Linked DNA regions of Xenopus tropicalis. The protein of the gene in region 1 purifies or fractionates together with the protein of each later gene. This does not show direct contact. Links are inferred from orthologs where the notes say so. Each region holds a gene or a part of one and is shown on either strand. Other genes may lie near its edges.

What was found.
Region 2: the proteins of cdc25c (region 1) and sufu purify together in Homo sapiens (affinity purification with mass spectrometry; 4 studies listed by BioGRID and IntAct, counting the BioPlex papers as one, with this or other methods). This does not show direct contact. The link is inferred for Xenopus tropicalis from reciprocal best matches to the Homo sapiens genes CDC25C and SUFU.

What each region holds. Positions count from the first base shown.
Region 1 is NC_030679.2:47,996,534-48,000,355, reverse strand, and holds part of cdc25c (M-phase inducer phosphatase 3), read left to right. Parts: intron 1-761; coding exon 762-791; intron 792-2,723; coding exon 2,724-2,757; intron 2,758-3,206; coding exon 3,207-3,281; intron 3,282-3,407; coding exon 3,408-3,506; intron 3,507-3,822. UniProt on the Homo sapiens protein: Functions as a dosage-dependent inducer in mitotic control. Tyrosine protein phosphatase required for progression of the cell cycle. When phosphorylated, highly effective in activating G2 cells into prophase.
Region 2 is NC_030683.2:29,282,388-29,286,209, reverse strand, and holds part of sufu (suppressor of fused homolog), read left to right. Parts: intron 1-260; coding exon 261-399; intron 400-2,091; coding exon 2,092-2,160; intron 2,161-2,742; coding exon 2,743-2,832; 3' UTR 2,833-3,822. UniProt on the Homo sapiens protein: Negative regulator in the hedgehog/smoothened signaling pathway. Down-regulates GLI1-mediated transactivation of target genes. Down-regulates GLI2-mediated transactivation of target genes. Part of a corepressor complex that acts on DNA-bound GLI1.

The DNA.
Region 1 (3,822 bases):
ATGATAGAGGTCACCATGATTGTCAACAAAAAAAAAAAGCACTTTTTTTTTTTAAATGCAGACATAACCCAGTGTCTTGGTACAAAAATTCAGGAGCTGTCTGCCAGAGGAAAATAGGCTTTAAAAGGGTGGGTCATCTTTAAGTTAACTTTTAGTATGTTATAGAATTCCATTCCTAGCAATGTTGCAATCGGTCTTCATTTTTAAAGTTTTTGTTATTTTATGAATTATTTGCCTTCCTCTTCTTCATCTTTCTAGCTTTCCATGGAAGTTACTAACCCCAGCAGCCAAAGTTGCTCTGCGAAGCTACAGTTTTATTATTACTTTTTATCCCTTATCTTCCTATTTTAATGTTCTCATTCAAATGACTGGTTGCTAAGGAAAAAAAGACCTTAGAAACCAGCTGCTGAAATCCTAAACTGGAGAGCTGTTTAACAAAAAGCTAAATAACTGCAAAACCACAAAAAAAAAAAAAAATAAGACCAGTTGCAGATTTTCTGAGAATATCAATGTCTACACTACACTAAAAGTTAATTTAAAGGTAACAAAATATATTTATTTCTGCTATGAGTATTCACTCTGACCTCCAATATGAAATTATTTGGCATGGGGCTTTCAGTGGTCAGAGAATGTTGTACTTGTGAAATATGCTCCGTCCCTTCAAAGCCAATCTATTAATTTAGCTGGCATATAGAACTGGCTCCACAGGGAGGCATCAAACTGCAATTTGAAAGTATTTATTTTGCTTCAATTTTGTGCAGATTTACGCCAGATCTAGGATGCAAAGCCAAGTAAGTGTAAAAAATAAATTTTTGTTATTTTAGTTTAGCAGCTTTTTTTTTTTTTTTTTATAATTCTTGTAAACTTGTTTTAATTATTGTATTTTACCTTTGTGGAGTTGTGGGTGTAAGATGGTTGATGGTGGTAAAAGTTTGCTTGAAGGGATTACACTGTTTACATAGAAAATAATTCCCTGTACAATTTAAAGTGTATTTTTTTTTTTTTTTAGTTGCAATATTGGTGTGTAGGCGCCATCTCAGTGCATTGTGTCTGAGTCTGATCTTTCAGAAGGAGCCAGCGCTACATTAGAACTGCTTTCAGGCAGCTATTTAAACAAGCTATTGTTTCTCCTACTCAGTATAACTGGAGGAGTCCCAAGCTGGACTTAAGGTCCCCATACACGGTAAGATCCGCTCGCTTGGCGAGATCGCCAAGCGAGCGGATCTTCCCCCGATATCCCCACCTACGGGTGGGGGATATCGGGGAGCTTGAAGTTAAAAAAAAGAAATAAATAAATAATCCGATCGTTTGGCCCTGGGGCCAAACAACCGTATTATGTAGGCGGCAATGGGGCAGTCGATTCGGGGACCGCATCAGCGAGCCGATGCGGCCCCCGATCCGACTGAAACTTTTAACCTGGCCGCTCTTTTCTGCCCCTACACGGGCAGATAAGCTGCCCAGTCGGTCCTAGGGACCGATATCGGCCCGTGTAGATTTCTTACTATTAAAGGAAAAGTAACACTAAAAATTTTTAACTAAAAAATGTATTTTACCCTGCCCCAATAATTACCCTATCCCACAAACCATTTATTATTTTGAATGCTGTAGTACAAAATACCTGTTAAAAGTTGGCTTCCGGTCATTTGAAGAAAGGTGATACGGCGATGCAGGTGAAGTATCAGGGGAAGCGTCCACTATGCGGCGATCGATTGATCTAGCCTTCCTTCTGTATAGGAAGGAGTCAGGCTAGGCTTGATCAATAGTTTTAGTTAAAAAATTTTTAGTGTTACTTTTCCTTTTAAGTGCTATTCTGATATCTACTGGGAGCTGCTATCTTGCTGCCTTCCCATTGTTCTGCTGATCGGCCGCTGGGAGGGGGAAGATACCACACCAATTTGCAGCGTGGCAGTAAAGTGTTTATCAGAGCACAAGTCACATGGCTGTGGCAACCAGGGAAATGAAGAATATGGCTAGCCCCATGTAAAATTTTCAAGTTAAATATAAAGAAAATCTGTTTGCATTCTTGGAAAACTGATTTCAATGCAGGATTTTGCTGGAGAAGCATCAAAACCGATGCGTTTTGCAGAAAACATGTTTTATTCCTTTAATATCTTGGCACCTCGTTATAAACAAGTTCTTTGCCCCCTTCCCCCAGGCTGCTTTGTGGCCCCCCCTTTTGATGTTGGAGAAATTGAGCGTCTAGTCTTCTCTTCTATCTGAAGTGTAGTACCAAAAATTGACTTGAATGATGTGAGTTAGCATTGATGGGTAGACCTATTAAGGTACAATAGTCTTAGTTGCCTAACTTTGATATCCCAGGGACCCACCTTCAGATTTGCCATAATGGGTGTGGCAAACTTGCTGTGGTCTAATTTTTGCCAAATATTGTGCCTTAAAATCCCCCTCTTTCTCTTTTCAAAGACTGCCTTTTAATTCAATGATGTATGACTGGTTAGTACTGCAATTCAATTGCTTATGTTTTTGCTTTATTCCTGGACCTACAAAGAAACTGAATAGGTTAAATGATTTAAATTAGTGGAAGTGTGTCACCACTGCTTGCCTTGGCACAACTCCGCTTTCTCTGGAAATAGATTATGCAGAGGAGCACCAAGCCACATACTTGCTCATCCTGCTCTTTATCTGCCATGGTAACTTATATCTACAGGCGTATTTATTCATATGGATTTGTAGATCTATAGATAACTCTTCTTTTCTTTTCACAGAAAGTGTCAGAGAGGAAACATGAATTCTGTTCTGGTGAGTGGCCTTGTATAGTGTAATTCCTTAGACAGAGACAATTATTTTTGTCTATGCTGTTTGGTTCTTTATATGGGTACATTTGTTTTTGGCAGAAGTACTACATGCGGGACAGCGAAACCTTCATTTTTATTATTATATATTTTGTCAAGGTTAGAGCATGTATAGTTTTTTTAGTTTGCTAAATGAAATAAAGCAATATATATTCTTGGTTTGATTTGCCTTTGTAGAGGTTCTGCACTTTTATGTCTTCTCTGCTGGTGCCTAGTTAGCCAGTTATCCTTGAACCATTGAAATGTATTCTTCTTTTCATTTGCTCTTTCTGGCACGAGCTGTAGTCATTTAATTCACTTTTGTAGTGATTTTTTTTCATGTATCACCATCATATAAATACATGCATTTTAAGACCCTCTTACTAAACAAAACATGTTATTTTCTGCCTTACCCAGCCTCGCCTTCTTTGTAGTACTCCAAGTTTTAAAAAGACCTCAGGAGGACAGAGAAGCATGTCCAATAAGGAAAATGTAAGCGAGATTGAGAAATTTTGGACCTCAGGAAGTAACATGTGAAAGCGGTTGGAAGAGGTCATTACTGTAAAGTATTAGTTTGTGTGTCAAAGTGTATTTCTTTTTAATGGTTGCTATTTTCAGGAGAGTGAATTGTTTAAAAATCCAAACTGCAAACCTGTTGCTTTGGTGCTGCCACAAGAAGCAGTCGATTCACAATTCTCTCCAGCACCAGAGGACAAGGTAAGTGCCTCAGTGCAGTGCTTCCCATCTCAGTATTTATATGTATTTAAGTTCTGTTGCTGGCACATACATTTTCTGTTGAGTTACAGCAAACCAGAAACATACATTTTCTTATATGCTGTCAATAGCCGCAATATCTACTAAATAACTGATGTACATGAAGTACAAAGTTTTTGAGACTTTGCAGCCTATCCCATTTTATAGTGTCTGATTTTCAGCCTGAGATGAGTTAACTACTGATGTTGTTGTATTATATTTTCTTGGGACTGTTATAGGATGATTTTTTTTATTAGTTTATTCAGCTTTATCAGTTGAC
Region 2 (3,822 bases), on another chromosome or scaffold:
CACAATGGCTGTACAACTCTCTCTGTACATTGATTTTCTGTTGTGTGGCTGTTGTTGCCTTTTGCATTTGACACCAGAGTAATTTCCTCCACTGCTCTGTGTTCAGCACAATGCACATACAGTAGACAAAATATATAAACTGATGCATCATTTCTAGTACATTATATATAGGGTTGTCATAGAAAGTGGGACAAGAAAAGTTTGCTCTGGGAAATTTTCTAAACATTTTTCTTACCTCAATGTTGTTCTTTTTGAATCAGAGGTAGGCTCTTGCACGGAAGGCACTTTACATATAAAAGCATTACTGGAGATACAGCAATCACATTTGTGTCTACTGGAGTAGAAGGAGCCTTTGCTACAGAGGAGCATCCATATGCAGCACATGGACCCTGGCTACAGGTGACATTTATTTATTTAACGTTTGGGTAATAGGAAAGCAGAAAATTGCCCATAGGGAAAGAAAAAAAAAAAAAAATAGAAGACAAATCTTCATGTGTAGTGTAAGTTTTAAGGCACTCGGGGTGTATTTTAAGTTTGCAGTAGCAGTAGGTGGGTGATTTAGGACTTACTATCGCAAAGCTAAAACTACCCTGTGTGCCATAGGCCTAAAAACTGGCATCTTCGATAAAAAAAGATCTAGATCTTTGATGTCCTATAGGCTATATGTGCAAAGGAGATTCATTTAAATAGAATCAGAGCCTGTCAGAATCCAGTTTTATGAAACTCCGCCATCTGAAAGCCTAAGGCTAAGAATTGATATCACTATGAATTGTCAAGTGGACTCCTGCAGATTTCTCAGAAAAGTTATTTGTGAAAAGAATAAGTCCATCTTCAGATGAATGGCAAACATCTGTTTTTAATTGATACGTTGTCATTTTAGTCCTTAATGGAAACAGTAAAAATGCAGCAGTCTGTATTGTTAGTCACTGGATGCAAAAGTCAGAAGCAATAACTTCTAACCCCCCTTTGATGCTAGGTGATGGCTTTCGAGCATAGAAATCTGAAGGCTTGAACATCTTTTATACTATAAAACAGGACTGTTTGATTATAGAAACCTTGGGCTGGAGGTCTGCTCCCAGATGGCTTTATATGATCTCATTATAATCTAGCCCACTAACATGGATTGGGTCAGAGTAGATGTGAATTTACATTAAAGGGGTAGTTCACCTTTAAATTAATTGTGAGTATAATGTGCTATTCTGAGGCAATTTGCCATTGGTCTAGGTTTTTTATTTGCTGTTGTGGAATTATTCAGCTTTTTGTTCAGCAGATTTCCAATTTGGAATTTCAGCAGCTATCCAGTTGCTACAGTGCAATTTAACCAAGCAACCAGGCTTGTTTGGTTTGAATGAGAGACTGAATATAAATAGACGCGGGCCTGAATAGAAAGTTAAATAATAAAAAATAACAATAACAATAAAATTGTAGCCTCACAGAACAATAGCTTTTTGGCTGCCATATTTAAAAGCTGAGTCAGAAGAAGAAGAAGGTGGCAAATAATTTAAAAACTACAACAAATGAACTCCAACTGAAAAGTTGCTAAGAATAGGCTATTGTACAACATACTAAAAGTTAGTCTGAATGTGAGCCACCCCTTTAGGGCTCTGGCACACGGGGAGATTAGTCGCCCGCGGCAAAGTCGCCGGTGGGATGGCAGGGGGAAGGCAACTCGGGGAGATTAGTCGCCCGCGAACAGGGAGTTTTGCCGCGGGCGACTAATCTCCCCGTGTGCCAGAGCCCTTAAATTCTTCAGAGTAGCAACCCAAGCAGGGACCTCTGTGCTCTGCATATTGCAGTCAAGGTCAGAATTCTCAAAATAATTGGGTGTGTTTGGACATTAACTTGACTCACATTAAGCAACCAGTTTGCTATAAACTGTAGATGAGGTTTAACAGATTACCTGTCGGCAGACACTGCTTTATGAATGAACACAAATGTTTTTAAATGTTTTTAATGTTTTCCAAATTCTAGTCAACAGGTACCAATCATCTCACTTTCTTGATCAGAAGATAACTTGGATATGTAGTTTGTAGATGTACAGCCTTGGATTGTATCTGTCAAGAACCTAAAACTGTCTTTCTGTCTTTTCAGATTCTCTTGACAGAGGAGTTAGTTGACAAAATGCTGGAAGACTTAGAAGATTTAAGCTCTCTAGAGGAAGTAAGCAGTCATAGGCCCGTGTGCAAAAATTAAATATTAACATATTTTAACAGATGACTTGGTTATTGTTTTTGTATCAGTATGGAACTATTTACTTTACTTGAAACATTGTTGTAATTGGGCTAATTTTCAATGTTTATTTTCCCATGTAAAACCATATAACAAACTTTTGTTGCAAAATATTCATCTGTCTGACTGCAGTCTCTAGCCGTTATAGCTGAGATCACACATTCCTAAGGGAGGGGGGAAGGAGTTCTTAGCATTCTGGTACAAGGGGGGAGCGGGAGAGAGGAGAGAACTGCGCAGACTCTTGCCCCGGGAAATAAGGATGTTTTTGAGAGAGGAAGCCAGACACTGGAACATAATGTTTACAAAAAAAAGAGACCAGTAACCCTGTGTTTCTTTTAATAGAGGACTTAGTGCAGCATTACTGTAAGTGTTTATGGCTGTATTTACATAGACCTTTGTGATAAAGCTTACTTAGTTAAAGCATGGATAAATTAATAGGACAATTAGGAGGGTTTAAAATTGTAAATAATCAGATAATCTGTATTTTAAGTAAAGTCATCTTTTCTTTCCTAGATGAAACTACCGAAGGAATACAGCTGGCCAGAAAAAAAGCTGAAAATCTCAATTCTACCCAACACAGTGTTTGATAACCCCCTCAACTAAAGGTGGAGTAACACCAACATTTCTGTTAGATACAGGGACGTCACAGTGGACTTTCCCCAAATTCAGCAGCTCAGCTTCATCCCTGCTGGAAACCAAGCCAAAGGAAAGCAATTACTGCACAATCTCTGCCCCCAGAGAAGGCTGGAGTGTACATGACATTTCAGCCCCATTTTATATTTTTAGCAGCCAGTTTCATGTGTGTTTGGCTTCAGTTGACTACTGAGTCTTTTCATTTAGACTCCCTTGGACTAGCATGACCTTGTCTAATTTGACAAGACATGTATTACATTGGGTTGGGTCTGATCATTAATGTTGTCTCAGATTCTATATGGATGAGTCCTGATAAGCTGCTTCCAAAACATATTCGTATGTTTGGCATTGGCCTCCAAATCATCTTATGCCAGTTGCCTTTGTGTACCCAGTGGGGCAAGTTGCACAGTGCCTATTTTACTTCATTTAGCCAGATGGGTGGGGAAAGTTGTTCCATGACTGGAAAAAAAAGTTGCTATTTACAGTTTTGTAACTGTAGTTGTGCTGTTGTCAGTCCCTTACATAGCAGTCATTATGGCTGGACCCAGATTAAATCTGGGAGGCACCCTTTGGACCCTAGAGTTGGTATAATATTCACTCCATATTGCCTTTTTTAATTGATATTGTCTTGTGTAATAAAGTAGATAATGGAGCCCCATAATACACAGCACAGGGACCCATTCTTGGTCATGACCCATAGGTTAAGAATTCCTGCCTTATGGTAATGATTATTGCAGTTTTATGCCATTCCTATTGAGAAGCTGGTTTATATATTTATAGCAGTGCTTGAACACTGACATTCTTAAAGGAGAAGTAAAGGTATAAGCACTGGGGTATTTTAATTATCCTAATTACATTCAAACTTTTGCCTTACCTTGTGGTACTGTCCGCTTGGCATAAGATGAGAAGAGGGGACACTGCTGTTGACAAAGACATAGCTTCATAGCAGCAACAAGCTAG